Linked DNA regions of Macaca mulatta. The protein of the gene in region 1 interacts with the protein of each later gene in a pairwise test. Links are inferred from orthologs where the notes say so. Each region holds a gene or a part of one and is shown in the gene's direction. Other genes may lie near its edges. The genes, in order: CCNDBP1, SYF2, PIMREG, PSMB10, NANOS2, RPLP0 and AMPD2.

Evidence for each region.
Region 2: the proteins of CCNDBP1 (region 1) and SYF2 interact in binary tests that used the Homo sapiens proteins (3 or more experiments, as listed by UniProt). The link is inferred for Macaca mulatta from reciprocal best matches to the Homo sapiens genes CCNDBP1 and SYF2.
Region 3: the proteins of CCNDBP1 (region 1) and PIMREG interact in binary tests that used the Homo sapiens proteins (3 or more experiments, as listed by UniProt). The two-hybrid records come from large-scale screens. The link is inferred for Macaca mulatta from reciprocal best matches to the Homo sapiens genes CCNDBP1 and PIMREG.
Region 4: the proteins of CCNDBP1 (region 1) and PSMB10 interact in binary tests that used the Homo sapiens proteins (3 or more experiments, as listed by UniProt). The two-hybrid records come from large-scale screens. The link is inferred for Macaca mulatta from reciprocal best matches to the Homo sapiens genes CCNDBP1 and PSMB10.
Region 5: the proteins of CCNDBP1 (region 1) and NANOS2 interact in binary tests that used the Homo sapiens proteins (3 or more experiments, as listed by UniProt). The two-hybrid records come from large-scale screens. The link is inferred for Macaca mulatta from reciprocal best matches to the Homo sapiens genes CCNDBP1 and NANOS2.
Region 6: the proteins of CCNDBP1 (region 1) and RPLP0 interact in binary tests that used the Homo sapiens proteins (3 or more experiments, as listed by UniProt). The link is inferred for Macaca mulatta from reciprocal best matches to the Homo sapiens genes CCNDBP1 and RPLP0.
Region 7: the proteins of CCNDBP1 (region 1) and AMPD2 interact in binary tests that used the Homo sapiens proteins (3 or more experiments, as listed by UniProt). The two-hybrid records come from large-scale screens. The link is inferred for Macaca mulatta from reciprocal best matches to the Homo sapiens genes CCNDBP1 and AMPD2.

The regions. Positions count from the first base shown.
Region 1 is NC_133412.1:20,576,741-20,580,985, forward strand, and holds the start of CCNDBP1 (cyclin-D1-binding protein 1), read left to right. Parts: upstream 1-1,435; 5' UTR 1,436-1,531; coding exon 1,532-1,640; intron 1,641-1,843; coding exon 1,844-1,903; intron 1,904-2,183; coding exon 2,184-2,263; intron 2,264-4,245. Other genes in the region: TMEM62 (transmembrane protein 62), read left to right, coding at 323-649. UniProt on the Homo sapiens protein: May negatively regulate cell cycle progression. May act at least in part via inhibition of the cyclin-D1/CDK4 complex, thereby preventing phosphorylation of RB1 and blocking E2F-dependent transcription.
Region 2 is NC_133406.1:215,734,741-215,738,279, forward strand, and holds part of SYF2 (pre-mRNA-splicing factor SYF2), read left to right. Parts: intron 1-74; coding exon 75-200; intron 201-960; coding exon 961-1,078; intron 1,079-1,663; coding exon 1,664-1,754; intron 1,755-3,539. UniProt on the Homo sapiens protein: Involved in pre-mRNA splicing as component of the spliceosome.
Region 3 is NC_133421.1:7,929,542-7,933,734, forward strand, and holds the end of PIMREG (protein PIMREG), read left to right. Parts: intron 1-101; coding exon 102-397; intron 398-1,940; coding exon 1,941-2,036; intron 2,037-2,657; coding exon of another isoform or gene 2,658-2,688; exon of another isoform or gene 2,689-2,702; intron 2,703-2,988; coding exon 2,989-3,049; 3' UTR 3,050-3,687; downstream 3,688-4,193. UniProt on the Homo sapiens protein: During mitosis, may play a role in the control of metaphase-to-anaphase transition.
Region 4 is NC_133425.1:63,512,708-63,516,876, reverse strand, and holds the start of PSMB10 (proteasome subunit beta type-10), read left to right. Parts: upstream 1-1,346; 5' UTR 1,347-1,419; coding exon 1,420-1,475; intron 1,476-1,686; coding exon 1,687-1,774; intron 1,775-1,860; coding exon 1,861-1,958; intron 1,959-2,069; coding exon 2,070-2,210; intron 2,211-2,475; coding exon 2,476-2,591; intron 2,592-2,702; coding exon 2,703-2,761; intron 2,762-3,230; coding exon 3,231-3,382; intron 3,383-3,507; coding exon 3,508-3,610; coding exon of another isoform or gene 3,611-3,619; exon of another isoform or gene 3,620-3,682; intron 3,683-3,819; coding exon of another isoform or gene 3,820-3,867; exon of another isoform or gene 3,868-3,993; coding exon of another isoform or gene 3,994-4,092; exon of another isoform or gene 4,093-4,169. UniProt on the Homo sapiens protein: The proteasome is a multicatalytic proteinase complex which is characterized by its ability to cleave peptides with Arg, Phe, Tyr, Leu, and Glu adjacent to the leaving group at neutral or slightly basic pH.
Region 5 is NC_133424.1:58,468,131-58,471,463, reverse strand, and holds NANOS2 (nanos homolog 2), read left to right. Parts: upstream 1-1,263; 5' UTR 1,264-1,342; coding exon 1,343-1,759; 3' UTR 1,760-2,820; downstream 2,821-3,333. UniProt on the Homo sapiens protein: Plays a key role in the sexual differentiation of germ cells by promoting the male fate but suppressing the female fate. Represses the female fate pathways by suppressing meiosis, which in turn results in the promotion of the male fate.
Region 6 is NC_133416.1:127,495,498-127,499,502, reverse strand, and holds the start of RPLP0 (large ribosomal subunit protein uL10), read left to right. Parts: upstream 1-1,197; 5' UTR 1,198-1,245; coding exon 1,246-1,299; intron 1,300-1,553; exon of another isoform or gene 1,554-1,759; intron 1,760-2,388; exon of another isoform or gene 2,389-2,775; coding exon 2,776-2,951; intron 2,952-3,055; coding exon 3,056-3,143; intron 3,144-3,260; coding exon 3,261-3,407; intron 3,408-3,518; coding exon 3,519-3,704; intron 3,705-4,005.
Region 7 is NC_133406.1:130,582,419-130,586,497, reverse strand, and holds the start of AMPD2 (AMP deaminase 2), read left to right. Parts: upstream 1-1,247; 5' UTR 1,248-1,684; coding exon of another isoform or gene 1,685-1,694; intron 1,695-2,176; 5' UTR 2,177-2,430; coding exon 2,431-2,683; intron 2,684-4,079. UniProt on the Homo sapiens protein: AMP deaminase plays a critical role in energy metabolism. Catalyzes the deamination of AMP to IMP and plays an important role in the purine nucleotide cycle.

The DNA.
Region 1 (4,245 bases):
TTGTTGTATGTGTGTGTATACATTTACTCAGTTCAATTCCAGCTTAACACCACTGGGTATTAACTGTGTATATGATACTGTACTACAAGTTGGGACTTCAACATAAATTAAATGATACCCGCCTCTAAGATGAATAAAAGGACATGGGCAAATACACAACTAGCCACAAGTCAGCTGTTGTGTTATAAGCAACTGTGCTTGAAGTAAATTAGCTAACCCCAAGACAGAAAGCAGCATATTCTTAGGATCCACTAATGATGCATTATTAAGACCAAACTCTTCCAAGGACTTGGGAGTAAGCTATGGCTCTGTTCTTTTCCAGCTGGCATTTTTTAACATCCCCTTGATGGCTTACATGTGTTGGAGCTTGCTGCAGCGGTGCTTTGGTCACAACTTCAGGTCTCATCTCCATCAAAGAAAATACTTGAAAATTATGCCTGTTCACCTACTTATGCTACTGCTGTACATCTGGCAGATTTATTCCTGCTACTTTCTTTATGCGACATACGGCACCCTAGCTTTTTTATTCTCCCCTTTGCGGACCTGGTTGACACTGCTGACACCTGTTCTCATTCGTTGTGTGTGGACACTGAACTCCGCCAAGCTTGGAATCTTCATGGTGCAGTTAAAAAGCCACCTGAGCTCCTGAAGGCCATGTCTCACCACTGGCAGCTGGGCAGAAGCCCAGCCTCTGTGTCTGTAGCCTAGGCCTCTACCCCAGTAGCAGGTGGAGGGCCAGTATTGGTGCGTGAGCTTTAGGGAGCTGCTGCTCGTTTGGACTCCTGGATGTTGGAGGGATTACCCACTACTGATACCTGCAGAATGGACTGCAGAAAAGTCTCAAAAATAATGCCTTTATTCCTTCCCTCCTCAAGGAGGCAAAGAGTTGATTTATCTTTGTGAAGAGAAAACCCTTATCTAGGACACCCACAGGGTAGGGGTTGGGTGTGTGTACGGGAGTGTCAGAGGCCCAGTGTGTTTTTTAGGGGTTACCCCATGTAAAGCACCTACCGCTGTGCTTGAAATTCAGCAGCTGTCAAAGGTGCAATTTCAAGGGCAGGGAACCTTTGAGGATCTGGGCCCGACCCTGACCACGGCTGAGATATTAGTTCCCAGGCCTGTTTTCCCGCAGGATTGTGGGCTCTCTGCTTCCTTAGTCGGAAGTGTTTTCAACTAATCAAATAAATGAATGAATGATGAATAAGAAAGACCGTGAGCCTGAGCCTTGCTCGTGTGGCCTCGCTTAAGGGGCGAGAGAAGGCGTGGCTTGTCCTGGCCTCTGGGATGGTTGGTGCTGGACCTCTGGGGACAGGGCGGGGCGGGAGGAGGCGGGGCCAGGCCTGGTCTCTCATAATGGGATGGGTGGTGCTGGACCTCTGGGGGCGGGGCCGGGCCTCTGGGGCGGGGCTGGACGGCTTGTTGCCGGAAACGAGCCATTGACGCTGTGGCCCGGAAGTGGAGCGGCTGTCGCAGTGCGGCTCCGGCAGTGGTGGCGGAGGCCTGTGTTTGCGGCCTTCGGCAAGCGACTGAGATGGCGAGCGCAACTGCACCTGCAGCCGCAGCCCCCACCCTGGCTCCACCTTTGCAGCAGCTCCGGCACTTGGCGGAGGAGCTGCGGTTGCTCCTGCCTCGAGTGCGGGGTGAGCTGACGGAGTTGGAACGCGCGACGGCAGGGGCGGGCTCGGGGAGAGGCCGGGATCGGGGAGAGGCCGGGCTCGGGGTCGCGGAGAGGGCGGGCTGGGGCGGCGGCGGCGGGGAGCCAGGCTCGGGCGAGGGAGGTAGGTCCGCTTACCTTAGCTTTTCCACTCGCCACCATTCGGCCCCCACACGCCACACCCGCAAGTCGGCGAAGCCCAGGAGACCACCGAGGAGTTTAATCGAGAGATGTTCTGGAGAAGACTCAGTGAGTGCGCCTCCTGTCCCGGCTCCCCTTGCCTCAGTTCCTTCAGCGTCCCGACCCCTTTCCCTCTCGCTCTCCCCCAGGGAGGGGACTGCCCTCCCCTGCTGCATCCTTTCTGTGAGATACCTTACCCACCTCAGCACCTGAGAGGGTAAACTAGAATTCTAACATCGACATTCGGGAGGTGTTTTTGAGAAGTCTGGGTCGGTAAGGGAACGCGTATCTTCCAAGTCCGTGCAGCGCTAATGTATTGGCACCTGCCTTCTCTTCGGCCACCCCCCAGATGAGGCAGCTGTGACAGTGTCAAGGGAAGCCACGACTCTGACCACAGTCTTCTCTCAGCTTCCACTGCCGTCTCCACAGGTGGGCTTCACTTTCCTGGAATCCTTGGGCTGCCGAGTTACACCTTAGGAATCCTCTAATTTTCTTTCCACCTTTTACACGCATGCCAGGAGATTTGTTTTCTTCGTCTGTCCAATGAGGTTACCGTTTTTTACTTCACAGGCTTGTTGTGAAGACCGAACTGCCAAGTGCATTTCCTGGCGCGGAGTAGGCAGGTCTTATAAATATTGGTTCAATCTGAAGTTCACCCTGGTGGTTTCTTTTCTGATAATTTTTTAAGCACTTTTTATGTGCTGGGTGTTTTCACATACTTGATGGCCATCTGACAGATGAGCAAGCAGGCTCAGAAGCTCAGGTTAAGATTTAAAAAAAAAGCAGGGGAGCTAGAATTTAAATCAAGGTCTATCTGATGTCTAAGGTACACCTATTCTGTTATACTACATAATACCCTTTTTATATTATTTTTTATATTTAATCAGTAACCTATGCAGATAGTATAAAATTCAAAAGATATCAAAGTTAAGTGTGTTAAGTTTATCCTTCCATCCACTTTCTCATTTTTGTCTCCCCCAGTTCCTTTTGCATTATTCCACATACATTCTGTACATATATACATTCATAAACATTTATCTTGTATGTGTCAGCTTCTTTTTACACAAATGGTAAGATACCATAAACACTGTTCTGGACCTTCCTTTAAATAAATTAACAATAGAGCTTAGAAATCAACTCTTAGCAGCTAGTATAAAGTTGTTCCGTTCTTTGTAATGACTGCATGGTATTCAATAGACTAGATATAAACATAATTTAACCATACTCTATGTGGACATTTAAGCTGTTTCCAACTTAGAATTACTGCAAACAGTGTTGTGATGAATTACGTAATTCTGTGTATGTATGTATATCAGTAGAAAAAATTCCCAGAAGTGGAATTGCTAGAACAAAGAATTTATGCGTTTTAAATATTCCTTTATTATTAAACTAATGAAAGTAAACATGTTGGCTGTGACCACGTATGCTCTATGCTTAGTTTTTTCTAGAGCTGTGTATCCTTAATATGGGAGTAAGATTCCTTTAAAATGGCATATTCATTGCCTTATTTGATTTTCATAGTCAATAGTTTTAATTTCTCAGTCTACATATATAGGTGTTTGGAAAGAATATAGGTATCTTCTGCTGCATGTACCTACAGTGATAAACTCTCTCCTCCTCACATACCTTTGAGATTTTTTTTTTTTTTTTTTTTTTTTGAGGCAAAGTCTCACTCTGTCACTCAGGCTGAAGTGCAGTGGCACAGTCTCGGCTCACCGCATCCTCTGCCTATGCGGTTCGAGCAGTCCTCCTGCCTCAGCCTCTCGAGTAGCTGGAATTACAGGCACCCGCCACCATGCCTGGCTAATTTTTGTATTTTTAGTTGAGACGGGGTTTCACCGTGTTGGGCAGGCTAGTCTCGAACTCCTGACCTCAAGTGATCTGCCTACCTTGACCTCCCAAAGTGTAGGGATTACAGGCATGAGCCACCGTGCCTGGCCTACCTTTGAGATTTGTGATGAGGAAACAAGAGATGAATTGTATGACGGCACTTTAAAAGATTCATGGAAAATAGACTATTTCAAAAAGAATAGTTAATATTATCTTATTTTTCTTATCTGCTAACCCCTTTCTTTCAAATACACTTAGGACTTGCTGCTAAAACTCACTGCAAGTAAGATACCACAAGGAGGCAGCATAGAACTGATTTTCTATACATGCTCAGGACAGTAGTTTTACTCATAGATGAAAAATTAGAATTTGGATTTATTTGAAATATATACAAATATTCAAGTATATACATATATTCAAATAAATACATATATGTATATATGTGTGTATATATACACATACATACACATGAATCATCATTGCCTTCTTGAGATCTCACCACTTTAGTCCTACTAAAAGATGGGTGGGTTTTTTTTTGTTTTTTTAAAATTCCAATCTTCATGGAATGATACTTTAATAAA
Region 2 (3,539 bases), on another chromosome or scaffold:
CCTCAAAGAAGGCAAAATGTATCTGGATTTATTTTCATGTTTTAGCTGACAGACTTCTTGTGTTACGGTTTTAGAATGAAGCTCGTAAATTAAATCACCAGGAAGTTGTGGAAGAAGATAAAAGACTAAAATTACCTGCAAATTGGGAAGCCAAAAAAGCTCGTTTGGAGTGGGAACTACAGGAAGAAGAAAAGAAAAAGGTTAGGAACTGTTTTATCTTCATAAGTGATTTAGTCAATCATTCTGTTGTATCAAGACACTACAACATGGTGGTTGAATACACTGGCTCTTAGGCCAAGCTGCCAGAATTGAAATTCTGGTTCTGTTCAGTACCGACTGTGACACTTGGGGTGAGTTTATTTGACTTCTCTGTACCTCTGTTTTCTCATCAATAAAACAGGAACTGTAACAATAATTATTTGAGTTCATTATGAATTCAGTGAGTTAATGCATGTAAAACATTTAAAACAAGGTCTGACACCTGATTAACACTCAATAAGTATCATGTGCTCACTTATATACCATAGTGTATTTCCAAATTTCCTTTAAATACTATTACAGTGGCCGGGTGCAGTAGCTCATGCCTGTAATCCCAGCACTTTGGGAGGCTGAGGCAGGCAGATCACTTGAGGTCAGGAATTTGAGACCAGCCTGGCCAACATGGCGAAACCCCATCTCTACTAAAAATACAAAAATTAGCCGGTCATGGAGGTATGTGCCTGTAGTCCCAGCTAGTTGGGAGGCTGAGACATGAGAATCCCTTGAACCTGGGAGGTGGAGGTTGCAGTGAGCTGAGATCACACCACTGAGCTCCAGCCTGGGTGACAGAGCCAGTGAAACTCCAACTAAAAAAAACTATTAAAATATTGGTTAATATTTATTGGATCTTTCTTGATGTAAAGTAGATGAAATTATTGCTTGTATCATAATTGTAGGTGTCAGCTTTTTTCTTCTTTTTAGGAATGTGCATCAAGAGGAGAAGACTATGAGAAAGTGAAGTTGCTGGAGATCAGTGCAGAAGATGCAGAAAAATGGGAGAGGAAAAAGAAGAGGAAAAACCCTGATCTGGGATTTTCAGGTCAGATTGACCTTTATTGAACTTTATTGACTGGGCTGTTAGTCATTTCCTTCATTGTTTCTGGTTTCAAGAAAGGATGTGCCTCTTGTGCTTCATGGGATATTCTTGATGAGGCCTAAAGACCAAGAAAAGTACAAATACGTCTCTTAGGACAGAAGTTAAAAAAAAGGCTGTGCTTCAGTTAGCCGGATTTTTAAATACTTGATGGTAAAATTTATCAAAGTCTGTTTGTCAGCATCTTCAGGATAGAAGCTATGCTTAGAATAGTGTTTTGGGCATATATTACTTCACACAGATTGAGTGTCCCTTGTCTGAAAATCTGAAATCCAAAATGTTGCAAAATCCAAAACTGTTTGAGTGCCAACATGATGCTGTGATGCTCAAAGGAGATGCTGATTGGAGCATTTCAGATTTTGAGTTTAAGTATAATGCAGATATTCCAAAATCTGAAAAAAATCGGAAACACTTCCGATTCCAAGCATTTTGGATAAACGATACTTACCTATGATAATTTAGATTTTTCTCTCAATAGGAAGGTCCAAACAAGGAAATATATTATCTCAGATTCTGATTTTATATTTTTAGATTATGCTGCTGCCCAGTTACGCCAGTATCATCGGTTGACCAAGCAGATCAAACCTGACATGGAAACATATGAGAGACTGAGAGAAAAACAGTGAGTCCTTTTTCATCCTGAGCTGATGTGGATATATTTGTGTGTTTGTGTGTGTGTATGTATATAAATAGAAACATACTTTAATGCTAAGGTATGGGTTATTAATAGCTGTCTAAGGGTGGTCTCTGTTTTTTCTGGATTTTTTTTTTTCCTTTGAGACGGAGTCTTGCTGTCTTGCCCACGCTGGAGTGCACTGAATGGTGCAGTCTCAACTCACTGCAACCTCTGCCTCCTGGGTTCAAGTGATTTTCCTGCCTCAGCCTCCCGAGTAGCTGGGATTACAGGTGCCCACCACCATGCCCAACTAATTTTTATATTTTTAGCTGAGATGGGGTTTCACCATGTTGGCCAGGCTGGTCTTGAACTCCTGACCTCAAGTTATCCGTCCACCTCGGCCTCCCAAAGTGCTGGGATTACAGGTGTGAGCTACTGTGCCTGGCCCTTCCTTGCCTGGCCCTTCTGGTTTTTTTATTTTATTTTATTTTTTAAAGAGACAGTGTCTCGCTCTGTTGCCTAAGCTGGAGTGCATTGACACCATCCATCATAATTCATTGTAACCTCAAACTTCGGCCTCAAGGGAGCCTCCCACATCAGCCTCCCCAGTAGCTAGGATTACAGGCATGTGCCACAATTCCTGGCTAATTAATTTTTTTGTAGAGACGGGATCTCACTGTGTTGCTCAGGCTGTCTCAAATTCCTGGCCTCAAGTGATCCTCTCTCTTTGGCCTCCCACAGGGTTGAGATTACAGGTGTGAGCCACTGTGCCAGGCCTAGTCTCTGTTTTGACAGCACTGTTTATTGCTTGCTTCACAGCAATTAATCACCTGTTTTTTGTTTTTTGTTTTTTTCTTAACTGGGCATTCTAAGACTGGTTGTTGATTGGTTAACACTCTGATTGTTGTAGTTACTGAGATATTTTAGGAGGCATAATGCTTTAGTGCTGGGGTTGGTAAACTTTTTCTGTGAAGGACCAGATAGTAAATATTTTCAGCTTTGTGAGCCATATAATCTCTGTCACAGCTACTCAGCTGTGCTGCTGCAGTGCAAAAGCGGCTGCAGAGGATTCATAAATGAATCCTCTTTTCATAAACAGGTGGTGGGCTGCTGTAGTTTGGCAGTTTGCTTTAGTGGAAAAGGAAATAACCTCAGGATGGAGCTCTAATCCCACCTCTGTCCCTAGCACTTTGTGACATCTGATAAGTCCTGGAGCCTCTCTGCCTGTTGGCTCTTTGATCTGTAGAGTGAAGGTGTTGGAGGAGTTGATGACTTAGGTTCCTTTCAATTCTGTAATTTTTTATTTTTTATTTTTTATTTTTTTTTTTTTGAGACAGAGTCTTGCTCTGTCACCCAGGCTGGAGTGCAGTGGCACAATCTCGTCTCACTGCATGCTCCACCTCTTGGGTTCAAGTGATTCTCCTGCCAAGTAGCTGGGATTACAGGTGCCCACCAGCATGCCTGGCTAATTTTTTTATATTTTTAGTAGAGATGGGGTTTCACCATATTGGCCAGGCTGGTCTCGAACTCGTGACCTCAGGTGATGTGCCCACCTTAGCCTCCCAAAGTGCCTGGATTACTGGTATAAGCCACTGCACATGGCCCTATTTTTTTTTTTTTGAGATGGAGTTTTGCACTGTTGCCCAGGCTGGAGTGCAGTGGTGTGATCTCGGCTCACTGCAGCCTCAGCCTCCCAGGTTCAAGCAATTCTCCTGTCTCAGCCTCCCAAGTAGCTGGGATTACAGGCACCTGCCACCACACCCAGCTAATTTTTGTATTTTTAGTAGAGAC
Region 3 (4,193 bases), on another chromosome or scaffold:
TGCCTCGGCCTCCCAAAGTACTGGGATTATAGGCGTGAGCCACGGTGCCCGGCCTCACTTTTGGTTGTGTCTGTGCTAACTTTTCCATTTGCCTGTTCCAGAGAATCCAGGAGTCCTGCCAAAGTGGCACCAGGTGGCTGGTGGAGACGCACGTGAAGGCCAGGAGGCGGAAGAGAGGAGCACAGACGGGCAGTGGATCCCCAGCTCACAGCCTGAGCCAGAAGAGCACTCGGCTGTCTGGAGCCGCCCCTGCCCACTCAGCCACAGAGCCCCGGGAGAAGGAGCGTCACCACCTCTCTGCCCGGATGGGCTCACGTGCCCACCCATCACGGCGGTCAAGGCGGGAGGCTGCCTTCCGGAGCCCCTACTCCTCAACAGAGCCCCTCTGCTCTCCCAGGCAAGTGGGATAGTGCCTCACCCCGGCACTGGTGACCTTTTAGCCTGGGCACAGTCCCTGCTCTCTGACCTCCCAGACACCAGCTGGGCCCCAGGGGCTTCTTGGCACCTCCTGTGGCTACCTGGAGCCAGGGGTACCCTGAGCAGCGTCATATCATGTTATAATTATTCTTACTGTTAAATGTGTGTCCTGCTTTAGCAGATATCCAGTGCGTGTATTTGTTCATTAGAAAATGAGAAAACTGGCCGGGCACGGTGGCTCACACCTGTAATCCCAGCACTTCGGGAGGCTGAGACGGGTGGATCCCCTGAGGTCAGGAGTTGGAGACCAGCCTGGCCAACATGGTGAAACCTCATCTCTACTAAAAATACAAAATTGGCTGGGCGTGGTGGTACACGCCTCTAATCCCAGCTCCTTGGGAGGTTGAGGCAGGAGAATCGCTTGAACTCAGGGGGTGGAGGTTGCAGTGAGCCGAGATCGCGCCACTGCACTCCATCCTGGGTGACACAGCGAGACTCTGTCTCAAAAAAAAAAAAAAAAAAAAAAGAGAGAAAACAAAACAACAACTAGATTCCTAAGGATTGTATTTCAACTTTCTGGCTGAGTTCTAGGGGGAAATGGAGTGTGTTAGTTAAGGCTGCATAGTAGCTTTGGGCTGTTGAATTTTTCCCCAAATTTCTTTGAGGGCTAGCATCTTTCTTTAGTCTCATAGGAACCTTGAGCTGTAATTAAGGTAGGCTCTGTTTGTCCCGTTTGACAGGTAATGAAACGGAGGTCCGGAGGCTTTTGGTGATTAGCACGAGGGCCATCCCGTAGGAAACAGAGGAGTAAAGGCTGGGGTCCAGATCATCTGGATATTCTGCCCCACTGATCAAGCTGGCCTGCCCTGCAGAATCTTCTAGTTCTCAGACAGGCCCAGCAAGTGGCCTGGCTCAGGGGAGAGAGTGAAGCTCATCCCAGTCCACAGTTCCTCGCAGCTTCCTATTCCCATCTCGGGGCTCTCAGGGAAGGCTGCCTAGCGGCTGCCCGTCTATTGTGGCAGGTGGTCACCAGGATGCATGTAAGTGACCAGGTGGCTCTTTGCAAACCTGGAAGCTAAAATAAGGCTTGTGTACACTTCAAAAATACTCTCCACATCTGTGTTCTGACCTGGTTCCGCCCCCAGAGCTAGCAGAGGACCTGAGAAAATCCTTCAGGACCTTAGTTTCTCTGTAAAGGAAGAGCTGAGCTTAGCTCTGATACAATCCCACTCACCCAAGCCTCCTAGTGAGCCCACAAGCAAGTTTTGAAGCCTCCTGGAGGGCTGAGGCTCAGTTTCCAAGTGGGGACACTGCAAAATCACTTGCCCATGACCTTGGCCTTGTGGATCTTGATCTTCTCTCTGTTTGTTGCTCTGAGGTCACTTCCTGGAGTGAGGGTCTGGAGTGAAGCCCAGCCCACCAGGGTCATCTGGGCCCACAGACCAGACCCCGGTACTGGGTTGCAAGGGGCTCCTGCCAGGAGTTTCTAGCTAGTCACTGGTGTGGCTTTTTCTTTCATTCAGCGAGTCTGACAGTGACCCAGAGCCTGTGGGGGCGGGAATTCAGCATCTCCAGAAGCTGTCCCAAGAGCTAGAGGAAGCCATCATGGCGGAAGAGAGGTGAGTTGGCATTCCATACTTCAAAGTGAAGTGGCCGGCAGGGCCCCTCCGGCCATCTTTGTAGGCAGGCGCTGGTTCTGCGCTGACCTGCTGTGTGACCCTGGCCAGTCTTTGCCCCTCTCTGGGCCTCAGTCTCCCTCATCTCAAACATGAGAAGAGACAAAAACCTGGACTGGGTTGATGGTAAAGAATGCAGCCTGAATGTGTGTGGTCTTCTGGGCCTTGGGCCCCCACGTTTGTCCATCATTTGGAACCTCACACGTGGCTGGTTCCTGAAAAGCCTGCCCTTCCTCCAGAACTGTCCGTGGCTCCTCTGTGCCCTGCCTGCCTGTGGAATAGGGAAAAGCAACCTGACTGCTATGGAGCTCCTGGTCTCTCTGCTCATGGCCCCATCCTAGGCGCAGGGCCTCGGTTGTGGATCTCCCCTAACTTGGGGCTATTTCTCCATTCCACTTGTATAATGGCCATGATGGGCTCTAAGGCTGAGCCCTGCCAGCTCTATGTGTTGGGGGGCCATATTCCTACCATGTTTCCGGGTCTGATCTTGTCTAGCTCAGGCTGAGAGGGGCCCACTCAGAGCCCACCACACCCAGTGGCATCAATCCCTCCCCTTCTCTCTAGTGGTGACATCATCTCTCTCATTCATGACTGAGGAAGTGCCTGCAGGTAATGCCCACCTCCCAAGCGTCTTTCTCACTGTCCTCCTCCTCCACCTCATGCATGAGCAAGTTAAAGAAAAACCCACAGAGCTGATGGGCACAGCAGAGTAGGTAGGACCCGCTTGCTGCTTGGAGCCAGAGCTGCTAACCTCACAGACCCCATCATTAACAGCATGCCGGGGGCCCCGAGTAGCTACAGCCACCTTCCAGCAGCCCCCACCCCACAGTGAGCAGGGAAAGGTATCCCTACTTCTCCGACCTTGAGCACAGTGACAAAGGCAGCTGTCTTGCAGGAAACAAGCCCTGTCTGACCGCCAAGTCTTCGTACTCAAGGATGTCTATGCTTCCCCGTGAGCTTCCCGGAGGAAACCCCCAGGAGTTGTCAGTACCCCCGGGCCACTGCTAACAAGCACCTAACAAGGGGCCCAGAGCCCCCTGCTCCGGCCACATCTGGACCCATCAGTGACTGCCTGCCATAGCCTGAGAGTGTCTTGGGGAGACCTTGCAGAGGGGGAGAATTGTTCCTTCTGCTTTCCCAGGGGACTCTTGAGCTTAGAAACTCATCGTACACTCGACCTTGAGCCTTCTATTTGCCTCGTCTATAACGTGAAGTGCTAGCCTCAGATGTTTGAGAGCTCTTAGCTGTGTACCCAGGTGTCTGGTTTTTGGGGAGTCATCCACAGAGTCACTCACCCACCGTGTTTCTGGTGCCAAGGCTCTTGGGGGCCCCACTGTCATCCCTGCTTTCCCTACCAGGGACTCAGAGGAAGGCATAGGAGATATTTCCAGGTTTCCGACCCTGGGCTCACGGGTTCTATTTATACACTCAAGGCGGAGTACTGTGGGTGTGCCGGGAGGGGTAGCCCTGTTCAAAAGCAATTTCTGCCCTTTGTAAATTATTTAAGAAACCTGCTTTGTCGTTGTATAAGAAACCAGCGTGTGACTTTCCTAGATAACACTGCTTTCTCATAATAAAGACTGTTTGCATTTGACATCTGTTCCGTTTCACCGGCCACCTCCAACCTTCCCCGTCCTCCCACACCACTCCGGGCCATAGATCTGTCATTTGTGGTCTCATTTGTGGCCCTCATCCACCTCTGCTCTGAGCCAGTCTGCCCCCAAAACCCATCCCAGGGAGAACATGTATAAAGGGAAAGGCTTCTCAGCTTAGTTCGGACGCAAACACACCGTAAAGGCAAATAAGGTTTTTATTTAAGTGACAACATTTGAGAGCTAAAAACCAGCTCACATCAAAATCAAGACCAGTTGTAAAAATCTTTTAACTCCATAACGCTGTTTTTGTCTTGTTAGAAATCTGATATCTTACATTAGCGTTTCTAACGGATTTTGTACAAGGCAGCCATAAGGAATATAATAAACCTTTTTCACCACAGAGCCGTCTGTCACAGATAATACTGAAAGTTACACACTTAGGAACAGTCAGACCACAGACAGGGTCAGACTGGCTGCCACCGCCAAGTAAACAAATAGAAAAGGA
Region 4 (4,169 bases), on another chromosome or scaffold:
CACTGCACTCCAGCCTGGGCGACAGAGCAAGACTCTGTCTCAAAAAAAAAAAAAAAAAAAAAGTAAAATAGGCCAGGCACAACCAACCATGGTGGTTCATGGTTGTAAGCCAAGCACTTTGGGAGGCTGAGGAGGGTGGATCACCTGAGCTCAGGAGTTCAAGACCAGCCTGGGCAACATGGTGAAACCCCATCTCCACCAAAAAAAACAAAAAACAAAAAATTAGCCAGGCATGGTGGTATGTGCCTGTGATCCCAGCTATTCAGGAGGCTGAGGTGGAAGAGTGCTTGTGCCTGGGAGGCAGAGGTTCCAGTGAAATGAGATCGCACCACTGTACTCCAGCCTGGGCAACAGAGTAAGACCCCGTCTCAAAAAAAAAAAAAAAAGTAAACCCTTTGGCAGCTGCGTGCTGCTCTTAGGCTCAAACCTAAGTCTTTTTTTTTCCCCCTTTTGAGATGGGGTCTGTTGCCCAGGCTGGAGTGCAATGGCATGATCCGTACTCACTGCAGCCTCGAACTCCCGGGCTTCCAAAGTGCTGGGATTACAGGTGTGAGCCACCAGGCCCAGATTGCTGAAGGGTTTAAACCAGAGAAAGAGTGTGACCAGATTTCCAATTCAGAAAGACCCGCTCTCTGCAGGGTAAGGTGTAGCCTGAGGTAGGGGGCAAGAATCGCAAGGTAATCAGGGAGGCCAGTGCAATGTCCAGGTGGGAGAGGTTGCTAGCTGAGACGAGAAGTGCTAGGAGAAAGATGTGTGCAGATAAGAGGTCACTGGGGAGGTGAAATAACAAGGCTTGGCCGTGAGTGGAACCCAGCACCCATGGTGCCCCTCTTGAGAGGGGGAAGATGTCACCTGAGATGGAAGATGGAAAGACCAGGGTCCCTGTGGCTGAGGACTGAGCCTGTGTTTGAGGTTTCACAGAGGAGTGAAGGCAACACAAGAGGCAAGAGTTGGAAGAAAGGTGACAAGGAACAAAAGTCAGCCATGCCTGATGCTACTGGGTGGCCAGCAACAATGCAGACTTGGCCAAGGCTCTGAGAGCTTTATTATGCTGGGACTGGAGGTCAGAGTTGAGGCTAGGGTAAGAGCAGGGGGCTCAGATGGAGGGGGAGGAGGACCTGAACAATGTCCAGAAGGGAAGAGATTTGAATCTCTATCCAACAGAGGACCCTGTGAGCAGCACAGAGGGCACAGCAAGGGACATCCCCCAGTTCTCCAAATGCTCAGAGCCACAAGTGAAGCCGAAAGTGAAAGACAAGATGCAGAAAACCGCCACGGGCCTTTGAAGGGTAAAGGCGAAAGCGAAAGCAGGAAGGACAGACGTCGAGCCTAGCAGAGGACTTTTTAGTTCCTCACTGGCCCCACTTGTCTGACCGACTCATCCACCCGCGACCCCTAATCCGCTCTGCCTGCCCCAAGATGCTGAAGCCAGCCTTGGAGCCCCGAGGGGGCTTCTCCTTCGAGAACTGCCAAAGGTGAAGCGGGGGCTGGGGAGGGGACGATCAATCCTGAGTCACCTCTGCTTGGTCGTGGCCTTTTTTCCTGGCTGGGGGTGGGAGAGGGTGTGTTGGGCGACTTGGGTTCCAGGCTTACCCCGGAAGATGAGGGAGACGGGGACCAGGTTAGGGGAAGCAACAGGGGTACTGGAAGCAGAGCCGAAACCTGGGCGCTCTTCTCCGTTTCCAGAAATGCATCCTTGGAACGCGTCCTCCCGGGGCTCAAGGTCCCTCATGCACGCAAGACAGGGACAACCATCGCGGGCCTTGTGTTCCAAGTGAGCAGCGGGGAAGGACAGGGGAGCTGGAGGGGAGCCGGGAGTATCGAGCAGGCACTGAGGCTGCGGTCCCTCCCTCTCCTCAGGACGGAGTCATTCTCGGCGCCGACACGCGAGCCACTAACGATTCGGTCGTGGCGGACAAGAGCTGTGAGAAGATCCACTTCATCGCCCCCAAAATCTAGTGAGACTCACCAGCCCAGTTCCCTCACGCAAAAGAGAACGGCCCCCTCGTTCCCACTCCGGTCCCGGCACGTGCCAGCCCTGCCCACACCGATCCTCCCTTTTCCCTCAGCTGCTGTGGGGCTGGAGTAGCCGCTGACGCCGAGATGACCACAAGGATGGTGGCGTCCAAGATGGAGCTACACGCGCTATCCACGGGCCGAGAGGCCCGCGTGGCCACGGTCACTCGCGTCCTGTGCCAGACGCTCTTCCGGTGCGGGGGCGGGGCTAACAGGATCCCCGGAGGGGTCGTTGCCGGCACGGGCCGATGGAAGGCGGGACAGAAAGGGGGGCGGGGCCGCGACGGGCCAGGTGACCGGAAGAGGCCAGCCCAAGAGAAGCTGGGCTATCGGAAAAGGCTATGTCAGTCATCGGGCGCCACATCACAGGAAGGGGCGGGGATAGTACCTAAGGGCGGAGGCATAGAGGGGCGGGGCCTAGGCCCCTGCCTGTGACCGACCCCGCCCATCCTCGAGCAGGTACCGGGGCCACGTGGGTGCATCGCTGATCGTGGGCGGCGTAGACCTGACTGGACCGCAGCTCTACAGCGTGCATCCCCATGGCTCCTACAGCCGTCTGCCCTTCACAGCCCTGGGTGAGCACTTCTGTCCCTTCTCCTCGAACCCTGCCCCTGTGACCTTGGCCTCACGGTTGTACTCCAAACTGGGTGGCAGCGGTTGACTTCAGATGGTTCTCCTGCCTTTAGGCTCTGGCCAGGGCGAGGCCCTGGCGGTACTAGAAGACCGGTTCCAGCCGAACATGACGGTGAGCGGCCTCTGTCCCCGACTATGTGGTCGCTGGTGGGATGTGCACCCGGGAGCTGGGGGAGCACAGGACCCTAGCCCGGTGTGGAGGTGGGGGAAGGCTTGGAGGTGGTGACCACTGAAGGGTGAGTGGAGTAAGGGCAGAGAAGTGCGGTCCTGGCACAACACCGTCCAATACCAAAGCCTGGACGGTTGGGAGAAGTCGAAGCTCACAGAGGATCTTTTGGAGCCGAGGGCAGAGGGAAGGACCAGTAGGGTCACACTTATATCAACGTCTGGAGCCTACATTTTGTTTGGGGTGGGATGGAAGCAGGTGATATTGCCTCAGAGGTGGCTAAGGCTCAGAGGGAGAAACACAGTGGGGGTTTGGGGTGCAAGACCAGATTGGGTGAGTGGACAGGCAAGTCCCCAGGCTATAGCCTAAGTTAACAGCAGAGGGCCCGTCAGGCCTCACACACTCATCACCGCAGCTAGAGGCCGCTCAGGGGCTGCTGGTGGAAGCCATCACCGCCGGAATCTTGGGTGACCTGGGCTCCGGGGGCAATGTGGACGCATGTGTGATCACGAAGACTGGCGCCAAGCTGCTGCGGACACTGAGCTCACCCACAGAGCCCGTGAAGAGGTGAGTGCTGGCGATGGGGTACCACAGGGATGTGTGGGGCTGCAGCAGGGGAGATGGAGGGCTGCAAGAAGGGGATGGGCCACATGACAGGCCCATGTTCAGAGGCCGTCCCTCCTCTCTCCCAGGTCTGGCCGCTACCACTTTGTGCCTGGAACCACAGCTGTCCTGACCCAAACCGTGAAGCCACTAACCCTGGAGCTAGTGGAGGAAACTGTGCAGGCTATGGAGGTGGAGTAAAATAGGTTGAGGCTTAGAGCTTGGAACAAGGGGGAATAAACCCAGAAAATACAGTTAAACAGATGGCTGTGTCATTCTTGAGTGGAGTAGGGTGGGCAGGCAGCCAGCAGGGCTCTGTAGCTAAGGCGTCCCTGCAGGGACCATTACTTCCCATAGCTCTAGTGTCTGGCCTAACAGATGCTCTTCACCCATTACCTCAGGCACCTACAGCTCCAGAACCCCAGCCCTGGCCAGCATTGCAGGCTTGATCTCCATCCAAACCTTCCTTCTGACTCCACACCTTGGAGGCTCCCCCATCACTCCACTGCCTTGCTCTTGGCCCTCTAGTCCACTGGAGACTTGTAAAACACAAAAGACCCCATGACCCCTCCTAGGGACTTTCCATGGCTCCTCAGTGGCCCAGGACAAAGCTCATACCTTTCAGTAAGGCCTCACTGAGGGCTAAAGTGCTGACAAGAGGAGCCACTCCCTGACTCCAAGGCAAGTTCTCACCAAGCACTTCTCAACCTCACAACATCTTTACCGGTAACACCCCTCAGATGGCGAGGCA
Region 5 (3,333 bases), on another chromosome or scaffold:
CTCCATCTCCAAAACAAGAGACAGGGTCCACTCTGTAGCCCAGGCTGGAGTGCAATGGCACAATCATGGCTCACTGAAGCCTCAACCTCCTGGGCTCAAGTGATCCTCCTGCCTCAGCCTCCTCACTAGCTGGGATTACAGGCACATGCCACCATGCCCAGCTGATTTTTTATTATGTGTAGAGACAGGGTCTCACTATGTTACCCAGGCTGGTCTCAAACTCCTGGCTTCAAGTGATTCTCTAGCCTCAGCCTCCCAAAGTATTAGGATTACAGGCGTGAGCCAGCATGCCCAGCCCAAGAGGGGGCATTCTAAGTGAAATCGTCTTGTGCCAAGGTCCTCTGCCACTTCTAACCTCAATTCCCAGTTCCCAGAGTGAGTATGAAACCCGACTCTGCCATTTCCCTGCTGTGTGACCTTGGATACATTCCTTAACCTCTCCAAGCTTCATATCTTTCTCTGTAAAATGAAAATAATAGTCCTGGCGCAGTGGCTCACGCCTGTAATCCCATCGCTTTGGGAGGCAGAGACAAGTGGATCACCTGAGGTCAGGAGTTCCAGACCAGCCTGGCCAATATGGTGAAACCCAGTCTCTACTAAAAATACAAAAAAATTAGCCGGGCTTGGTGGTGGGCGCCTGTAATCCCAGTTACTCAGGAGGCTGAGGCAGAAGAATCGCTTGAAGTTGCAGTGAGCAGAGATCACGCCATTGCACTCCAGCCTGGGCGACATAGCGAGACACTGTCTCAAGTAAATAAATAAAATAAATCAGGTCATGTTGTTATTATTATTTTTGTCTGTTTATTTTTGTAGAGACAAGGTCTCGCTATTTTGCCCACGCTGGTCTAGAGGTCTTGGGCTCAAGCGATCCTCCTGCCTCGGCCTCCCAAAGTGCCCGGAGTGCAGGTGTGAGGCACCGCACCCAGCCTGGTTGCTATGATGATCAGCAGTAACTCTGAAGTCTAGGAAGGGTGTAGCCCCTCCAGCCTAGGGGTGGGGGATATTTGCAGACATGGGCTTTCTTTGAACAGATAGGGAAACTGAGGCACAGAGCATGGAACTGTCTTCCCAGAGGACACAGAGCACCTTGGCAGCAGAGCAGGGGCCAGAGACCAGGGGAATGATCTCCTTCCAGATCTCTGTGAAGAATTAAAGTCAGATGGGGGTTATGGGCAGGGAGTGGGCCCTTTAAATCCTAAGCTCCACCTTTGCTTAGAAGAGTCTCTGGGCATTATAAAAGGGGGTGCAGCTCCCTTCTGCTCTGGGAAACGCCTGCTGCCCTTGCCTACGGGCCCCCAGCCCCAGCCCCTCTCCAGTGGCCCACCACCCCTGTTTTGGTGCCATGCAGCTGCCACCCTTTGACATGTGGAAGGACTATTTCAACCTGAGCCAAGTGGTGTGGGCGCTGATCGCGAATCGGGGGCAAAGGCTGGAGACCCAAGAGACTGAGGAGCCAAGTCCTGGGCCCCCGTTGGGGCAGGATCAGGGGCTGGGAGGGTCAGGGGCCAACGGGGGCCTGGGCACCCTGTGCAACTTCTGCAAGCACAACGGGGAGTCCCGCCACGTCTACTCCTCACACCAGCTGAAGACACCAGACGGCGTGGTGGTGTGTCCCATCCTGAGGCACTACGTGTGTCCCGTGTGCGGTGCCACCGGTGACCAGGCCCACACGCTCAAGTACTGCCCGCTCAACGGTGGCCAGCAGTCCCTCTACCGCCGCAGCGGGCGCAACTCGGCCGGACGCAGGGTCAAGCGCTGAGGACCGTGAGATGTCCACCACCCGCACCCCTGACCCTCCTGGTCTGTCCCACCCAAGTCCCTAAACTCTCTCCTCCAGTCACCCAGCCCTTTGGAATTTCTGGCCCCCAGAACTCCACCTTGGCTGGATCCTGAAACAGTGGAGACTCCTGGGAGCCAGGCCAGCCCCGCCCCCTTGGACCTGTCAGCTCTGGGAGCTCTGGCCTGTGGGCGTCCCAGGGTCCTTGGTGCGCCGGGAACCCTTCCTGCATGGCCTTGTAGCGCCCTCTGGGCCCCGGTTCATGGATCTTTTGTTCTCGTGGGGCCTGCTGGTGACAGGAGCCCTGCCCCTTCAACTTCTCCGTTCCTTGTGGAGTTCTTGGATTTTTGAACCTCCAGGATTCCACGGTGCTGTCCCAAGCCAGCCCTTAGGAGACACTGAAGAAGGCTGGCTGAGAAGTGCCAACCCGAGAACTTCAAGATGGGATGTCCACTTAACACCAGCCTTCTCCACCTTCACCTTTCTGTAGAACCACGGTGTCATCGTGGACCACACCGGTTCATTCCTTCCCTGACCTCAGCACCCACCCGTCAGGAGCTGAGTGGGACGCTGGAGAGCACCGTGTCACTGGAGGGCACGGTGTCTTCATAGGCTCACCCGCGGATGGAGAGTCATGGGGTGAGCTGACACCTTTCAATGCCCCCTGGTTGTTCTTCCCCTTGTTCAGCCCAGTGCACTCGGCGCGTGCCCCCATCCCCAAATCACCGATGGGTCCTTTTTCCCAGCAAGAAGCACATCTTTCCACTACCTCCCATCCGACCCCCCAAATCGTGATAGTTGACTAAAGAATTTTTTTTTTCCTCCTGTATTTTTCATCCTCCAACTTTTAAGTCGAGGAACCGCCGATAAGACAGGGGTTTGAGTACCCGGATGGGAAAGGCAACGGCCTAGCTTTTATTTTAGGGGCAAAGAAAAGAAGGACCCCAGTCAGATTTTAAGTTGTTCAGTTTTTGGCACAGGGCTGGGACCCTGAGTATTGAGCTCTGGTGAATAAAAAGGTTTTTCAGTCGTCTTTGAAATGGTTGTATCTGTTTCCGTCTTTGGTTTGTCTGTGAGACAAGCTCTTGCTCTGTCGCCCAGGCTGGAGTGCAGTGGTGCGATCTCGGCTCCCTGCCCGGGTTCAAGTGATTATCCTCCCTCAGCCCCTCCAGTAGCTGGGACTACAGGTGCGCCCCACGAGGCCTGACTAACTTTTTTTTTTTTTTTTTTTTTGATACGGAGTTTTGCTCTTGTCACCCAGGCTGGAGTGCAATGACGCAATCTCGGCTCACTGCAACTTCCACCTCTCGGGTTCAAGCGATTCTCCTGCTTCAGCCTCCCGAGTAGCCGGGAATAAAGACATGCATCACCACACCCGGCCATTTTTGTATTTTTAGTAGAGACGGGGCGACCGAGTAGCCGGGACTACAGGTGCGCACCACCACACCCAGGTAATTTTTATTTTTGGTTTTTGTTTTTTCTTTATTGAGGTGGAGTTTCGTTCTTGTTGCCCAGGCTGGAGCGCCAACGGTGCAGTCTTGGCTCACTGCATCCTC
Region 6 (4,005 bases), on another chromosome or scaffold:
AGTTAAGCCTGCTCTGGAAAAGCAGCAGAGCATCATCGGGTGGAAAGCAAGTAAGTCAGGAGGAAAACATCTGAGATGATCAGAGTGGGCGTGAGGGGCAGATAGGTAGGGCCTTGTAGGTAGTTTAGATTTTAGGTTTTTACTCTGGAGGAAATGGAAAGTTTTGAGCAGATAAGGAGATGAGCTGACTTAGGTTTTTGTTTGTTTGTTTGTTTGTTTTTGAGACGGAGTCTCTGTCACGCAGGCTGGAGTGTAATGGTGCGATCTCAGCTCACTGCAGAGCTCACAGCTCCTGAGTTCAAGCAATTCTCCTGCCTCAGCCTCCTGAGCAGCTGGGATTACAGGCGTGCGCCACCCCCCCGGCTAATTTTTGTATTTTTAGTAGAGACGGGGTTTCGCCATGTTGGTCAGGTTGGTCTCGAACTCCTGACCTCCGATGATCCACCTGCCTCGTCCTTCCCAAGTGCTGGGAATATAGGCGTGAGCCACCGCGCCCGGCCAGATTTTAAAGATCCCTCTGTTTTGGTAGGAGGAAAAACAAACTAGAGAAGACAAGAGATCATTCGGTTTCTAAGCATGTGCAATTACGTCTCAGCTTCATCTCATGCCTTTCAGTTTGCCGAGCTCGCCAGGTGGCAGAGGGAACTGGAGACTCCGAATTCGCAGCTCCAGCTCCAGCCCCGCAGGTGGCAGCAGCTCAGAGCAAGCTCCTCCAACGCGAGGCAGCGCCTTCCTTCACTACCCTACTTTAAGGCGGCTTTCCGTTGGTTCGAGTGGCAGCGACATTATCCAATGGTTGCCTGTGTTCGTTCAGCTTTGTCGGACGGGCGATGGCTCCAGCCAATAGACAGGAGCGCTATCCGCGGTTTCTGATTGGCTATTTTGTTCGCATATAAAACGCACGCACGGGCGCGAGGCCCTTCTCTCGCCAGGCGTCCTCGTGGAAGGTTGGTGCGCTGGCCAGATCGGCGTCTGGGGCGTCAGCGGGAAGCATGGAGGGGTCATTGGGGGATTTTGGGAACGTGGAGTCCTATCCTGTTCCGCCTGGGGCCTCGGTGGCGGCTTGCACGCCCCGAGATGGCGGCGGCTGCCCTAGGCAGAGCCGGCGGGCGCTTGCGCGTGTCTTGCTCCTCGTAGGCCCAGGACCGGGGAATGGGTGTCGGGGTGACCAGGCTTGAGCTCCCTCTCTCTCCTCAGTGACATCGTCTTTAAACCCTGCGTGGCAATCCCTGACGCACCGCCGTGATGCCCAGGGAAGACAGGGCGACCTGGAAGTCCAACTACTTCCTTAAGATCATCGTAAGTGCAGGGTGGGTCGCCTCTGCCCTTCATGTTGCCCCAGCGCAAATAGGGACAGTCAGCTGCCATGTGCTGAGGGTCTATTCAGTACCGGTTACTGAATTAGGCCATTTTCGGGAAAATCCTGTTTAGTTAACAATTTCCTGAGATAGGTCCCTTCTGTTGCAGATAAACAGGCTCAGGCAAGTTAAGTGGCTCCTAAGATGACAGCATTCATATCCAGGTCTGTCTGGCTTCCAAAAGAGCGCACGTTATACCTTTTTTGTTTTTTTTTTTTTAACGGAGTCTCGATGTGTTGTCCAGGCTGGAGTGCAGTGGCTTGATCTTGGCTCACTGTAACCTCCGCCTCCCAGGTTCAAGCGATTCTCCTGCTTCAGCCTCCCAAGTAGCTGGGATGACAGGGGCGCGCCACCACACCCAGCTAATTTTTGTATTTTCAGTAGAGACGGGGATTCACCACGTTGGCCAGGATGGTCTCGATCTCTTGATCCTCATGGTCTGCCCGCCTCGGCCTCCCTAAGTGCTAGGAGTGAGCCACTGCGCCCAGCCGCACATTCTACTTTTACTGTATCTTTGAGAAGGTCTGAGGCCAGTAGTGACTCATTGTAAGGAAGCAAGTTGTTGCATATTTAGGACCTGTCAGTCAAGAAACTTAAGTGTCCAGTGACTTGGATGGCCTTTGAGGTGGGTCTTCCTTGCCCAGAAACGCTGACTGTACTGCGCTTAAGCAATTAGGCAGCATTGTAGAGCATAGCTTGTATTACGTTTTCCCACACTTAAAAGGTTTTCAGACACAAAACTCGAAAGAATTGTACAACAATCAGGATATACACGTCTAGATTCTTTTTACAAGTAATAACGTTGCTTAACGTTGTGCTTTGAATGCTGTGAGTCTAGCCCTCTTGACCAGCTTATTTGGAACATTCCTTTTTTTATCCTGATAACCATTTTAGTGAATCGGAAACCTCCCTCGTAATTGGGAAAAATGAAAAAAAAAAAACTAAGTAAAAAAGGAAAGGCCGGGCGCGGTGGCTCAAGCCTGTAATCCCAGCACTTTGGGAGGCCGAGACGGGCGGATCACGAGGTCAGGAGATCGAGACCATCCTGGCTAACACAGTGAAACCCTGTCTTTACTAAAAAAGACAAAAAAACTAGCCGGGCGAAGTGGCGGGCGCCTGTAGTCCCAGCTGCACTCCAGCCTGGGGGACAGAGCGAGACTCCATCTCCAAAAAAAAAAAAAAAATTAAAGGAAAAACTCCTTGATAGAATGTAGAAACCTGATTTTCAGCATTCATATCCAGCAAACCAGTCATCCAGTTTGGCAGTGTTACAACGTAGCTCCCACTCTCCCTCTGACTTCAAAAGCTTAGAAGAAAGGGAGTGAGAAGGAAACAAATTGTGGGGTTCAGTTTCTCCTGGCATTTTTTTCCCTCTTTCTTCCTGTTAAACTTGGCTCCTCTGACTTGTTTTTTGTAGCAACTATTGGATGATTATCCGAAATGTTTCATCGTGGGAGCGGACAATGTGGGCTCCAAGCAGATGCAGCAGATCCGCATGTCCCTTCGAGGGAAGGCCGTGGTGCTGATGGGCAAGAACACCATGATGCGCAAGGCCATCCGAGGGCACCTGGAAAACAACCCAGCTCTGGAGAAGTCAGTTCCACTGGCAGTTTTGTCCTCCCTCCCCAGTGCCCGTCTCCCTCTTCCTGGAGAATGGTGCTGAAAGGTGATTTTCTCCTGTAAACTTCTCTTTGCAGACTGCTGCCTCATATCCGGGGGAATGTGGGCTTTGTGTTCACCAAGGAGGATCTCACTGAGATCAGGGACATGTTGCTGGCCAATAAGGTAAGGGGACAATTGAGTTGGCTAAAGAGATTTTGTAGTTGCTTCTTAAAGCAAAATGGACCATTCTCAGGTTGTATGAGTGGAGAGGCTTTTCTCACTGTTTGTTGTCTTTGTCAGGTGCCAGCTGCTGCCCGTGCTGGTGCCATTGCTCCATGTGAAGTCACTGTGCCAGCCCAGAACACTGGACTCGGGCCCGAGAAGACCTCCTTTTTCCAGGCTTTAGGTATCACCACTAAAATCTCCAGGGGCACCATTGAAATCCTGGTGAGTGGACCTGGTTTGCCTGTGCTAATCAGGCAAATGGGGGGCTGCTTTTAGTGGCCATGGGTCTGTTGGTTGTCCAGGTGTTTACTGCCCCACTGTTACCTTGTTCAGAGTGATGTGCAGCTGATCAAGACTGGAGACAAAGTGGGAGCCAGCGAAGCCACGCTGCTGAACATGCTCAACATCTCCCCCTTCTCCTTTGGGCTGGTCATCCAGCAGGTGTTTGACAATGGCAGCATCTACAATCCTGAAGTGCTTGACATCACAGAGGAAACTCTGCATTCTCGCTTCCTGGAGGTACATGCTCTCAGCCTTGCCCCCTCTTACACTGATGGTTGAGAGCATGACAGGGGTCAGACTGAGTCCCTGTAACCAAGGACTGTGTTTTCATCTGTCTACCTGCCTCATCTGTAAAATGTCAATAACAACATAAGATTGTTGAAGGATTTAATGAATTAATGGATGTAAAGTCTTAGAACAGTGCTGGGCTGTTATTCTAGGGCCAGGAATAAGACTGTCAAATTTTGCCATCAAAATGCCCTTTAAGAGGCGGAGGTTGTGGTGAGCCGACATGGTGCCACTGCACTCCAGCCTGAGT
Region 7 (4,079 bases), on another chromosome or scaffold:
GCCACCAGTAATGTGTGTGCACACGTACGTGTGTGTGTGTCTCCCATCTCACTAACTATACCCTTGCCACCTGCATTAGTGTTTGTTTTTTTGTTTTTTAGTCTTTGCTATTTTGATAGGTAAACCTGGTTATCTCTGTTCTCTTTTTAGTTCTATGGATTCTGTGTGAGGTGAAGAGGCCAAGTTTTTTTAAGTTTGTTCAGGGAACAGTAGACAGGGATCAATGGAAGTGGCACCAGATGCAGGTGGAGCACAGGGTTCAAAGTCCAGAATCCAGCGTGGGGAGAGAAGAGGCAGGCAGAGTTTGGGAAGGAACTCTGCTGTGGGGGTGGTGAGAACTGGGAGGAGCCAGACAAACAGCATTAGAACAACTGGGTTTGGGGGGCAAAGGCCTCCCACAAGAGGGAAAATAGGGAAGAGATTAATTCCTGCTAATGCATTTAATTATATTCAGTGAAGTCTTAGGGACTTCCCTCCACAAGTTCCCTTTAGGTCGGATTTTCTACCCCTTGGCAGTGGGGATGCTTGTTGGATAGGATGTCTGCAGACCCCAGAACGGCTGTAAGTGAATCAACCTGTGAGTGTCAATAGAGAACCAAGGCCAAGGCTAAAGCAATGGTAATAATAAAAAAGTGCTAACTACAGGCCAGGCACAGTTCTAAGCAGTTAACTTACATTAACTCATTCATCTTAACCACCATATAAAGCAGGTACTCTTACACTCATTTTACGGAAGAAACAGAAGCACAGAGAAGTTAGGTAACTTGTCCAGTATCAGGAAGTAGGTGAAATCTGGATTTGAACGCAGACATTCTGGCTAGAGTTAAAGCTCTTAACCACCAAATACAGAAATGTGGGAAGGGGAGCCAGAATTGCAGGGCACAGCCTCCTACCTATGCCGGCCGGAAGAAAACAGACGACCAGGTGAGATTGCAGGGGCAGGACTTCTGCTTAAAATGAATCCTGGGACGATAACAACAGCTACCTTTCATTGGGCCCTGACTTCGTGCCAGGCACTAGGTAAAGGGACTTTACGTTTAATCTTCACAGTAACCCCTTTGAGTGAGGTACTGTCATTACCCCATCTTACGGATGAGGAAGCTGACGCACGAAACTGCCCCAAGATCAAGGGTCAGCTCAGGCCAGCCCTACCGCGGTGTGGCGGCTGCCCACGTGGCGCCCAGGAAGAGAAAAAAATGGCGAGGCGGGGTCGGCAGGCGGAGGCGGGGCCAGGCGGGGGCGGGGCCAAGGGCCGCAGAGCCTGGCGCGGAGCCGGCGAGATTTTCGTGGGGTCGCACCTGTTGCGTGACTCCCCCACAGTCCGGCCGCGGGAGTCCGACCCTGAATGCCCAGGGAGTGTTGCGAGAAACCTGGACGAGTTCCGGGTCCCGCTCCCTTGGGAGCACGTGGCCTACCCGTCTCTCGATTGCGATTGCGGGGTTGGGTGGTCGCGACACCGGGGTCGCCTTGAGGCCAGTCTGGCTGCCGAGATCTGCGGGAGTCCACCTCCGGCCAGCTGGCAATTTTGAAAGACTGCCTTACTTTCCCCATCTCAGTGCCAGGGCAGGGGCCCTTGGAGTGACTTGGCCGGAGTCTGGGGCCCGACCACCCTGCCCTCTCTCAGGACCCGGGCTTTCTGCTGTGCAGACCCTCGTGGGCAGCCTCCCCTCGGAACTCGGACACCATGGCTTCAGGTGAGTGTGTGTACGTGTGTTGGAGGGAGGGTCTCTGGGACAGAGAAGTGCTGTGGCCAGGGTGACAAGAGGGTGGGAGTCACAGCACAGCGGCAGGACGTAGGGAAGGCGGTCAGCTCTTCCTACGAGGGCCTGGGGAGCAGAGCCAGAGTGTGCAGAGCCAGAGGAAAAATCCGAAGAGGCTAGGGTCTCTGTCCCAGACCCCCAGACAAGGGGGTCTCCTGGCCTTCCTGCCTTCCTAGGAGGTAGCTATTTGGCGACGGTGGAATTTTCCCAAGACAGGCCCCTCCCTCCTGGGCTGGGATTCTCGGTTCTTCCCCCTCCTCCCAGAGCTGAGCTACCCCCGGAGCTGAGGGTCAGATGTGGAAGGAAAGTGGGTGCTGGGTTTTCACGGAGTATGCCAGCCCTGCCCCGGGAGGACTGTGTTTGAGCTTGGACTCACTCGCTGCTGAATTCCTATTTGTTATTCTTTTTTCTTCCAGACTAGCTGGAAGGACCAGCTAGCCTGGACTTTGGCTTCTTTGCCCTGGAGCCCTGGCATAATGGGGTGAGGGCTCTTGGTGGGTTAGTGGAGAGCTGGGGGCTGGCCCTTCCCCATCTTCTTTTCTACCCACTCCCTCCCCCGCCCCCCGCCAAGCCCAGCCACCATCAGTCACGTCACTCCTGGGACTGAGGAGGGAGGGGAGGGATAGGGGGCAGAGATGGAGGCCCCACTCCCCGAGGTTGCCTAGACAACATGAGAAATCGTGGCCGGGGCCTCTTCCGCCTGCGGAGCCGCTGCTTCCTGCATCAGTCACTCCCGCTGGGGGCGGGGCGGAGGAAGGGGTTGGATGTGGCAGAGCCAGGCCCCAGCCGGTGCCGCTCAGACTCCCCCGCTGTCGCCGCCGTGGTCCCAGCCATGGCATCCTATCCATCTGGCTCTGGCAAGCCCAAGGCCAAATATCCCTTTAAGAAGCGGGCCAGCCTGCAGGCCTCCACTGCAGCTCCAGGTGAGTGTGTGCTTCCTGGCCTCAGGATAGATGCTGGGCTCTGTCTTGCCACCTCTCGCCCAAGCTGCTGGTCCCCTCAGAGGAGGCCACCTCCTCTGGCATCCTCTCTGTGGTGGTGCCTCTTAACCTCAGTCCCAGGGACAGCCGGCTTGGAAGGTGGGGTGAGGGGTGGCCGGGGGTGGGGGTGGATCTGAGATATCTGTGCCAGGGATGCTGTCCTCTGTCACAAGGAGTGGGCATGGTGTGGGTGCAGCAAGAGGTGTGTGTGCACACGTGTCAGCGTGTGCATGTGCTAAGACTGCATGTGGAGCATGTGTGAATGGAGTGGGGGTGTGTGGGACTGTTTTGTGGACTGGCCACTCTGACTGGTGCCTGTGCCTTTACCAGGCAGGCTCAGGCTGTTCTGTGACTAGTTCCACTTTTTAGGACCCCACATCTAGATCCCCCTCACTGGGGGTCTGACATCTGGGCACAACCATTGTTGGCTGGCATCCCACAACTGGGGGCTTGACTGTATCTATCGTTTGCTATTTGCTCGTTCCTTGTCTATGTCATGAGCCTCCTTAGGAGTATGGGGCGTCCTTGGTCAGGTCCGTGCAGGCTTCAGACTGGGGCTGCTGCCCGCACTGCGTGTGCTCCTGCACCCTTTGGTTCGTCTCTCACTCTAGTAAGCATCTCTGCATCATTTGGAGCAGGCAGCGAGGTGCAGCAGCGCCTGTCTCAGTGAGGGCTTGGCTGCCTGGCTCTGTGCTTGCAGAGGGCTGTCTGCCTGCTGTCTGCTCCCAGGCCTTGTGGCTAAGGAAAGACCCACCCTGACTTTGATGACCAGATCATGCTGACTGCCCCCCACCCTTGCAGCTGTCTGTAGCCATAGCCCTACTATCAACCTCCTATATTTTCTTGTTTCATTGAAGATGCCTAGTGCTAGGTCTGTACTGCCCTGAGGGTGTTCTCTGTGCCCAGGTCTGTGCCATCCAGAAAGGGTGTCCCCTGGGTGGGGCCCTCCCTGGCCCTGTTTGGTTCAGCAATAGGGCAACTGATACGGATCTAGCCCAGAACTGGATACCCTTCAGTGGTCAGATGGTAAGAGCATCTGACACTTGTGGGGTCAAAGCCGTGGACACCCCTGTGCCTACTGAGGCAGTCCTGGCAGTGTGTGAGGGGCTCCTGGTCGAGAGGGGAGATGGGGTGCTCAGAATCTCAGAGTTGGTGGGAGTGGCTCTGGAGCGGCCCACTCTGGCTTTTGCTTGACTTCTCTGTAAGTGTGGGTGTATGTGTGTGGTGCTGGCCCCTAGAGAAAGGACCAGTAGGCAGCTGAGTCTTCTAGGCCTGGCCTCTGAGAACGTAGAGGTTACTGCCTGTGTGTCACCTTCAGTGAGCCTGTGGCAGCCCTGGA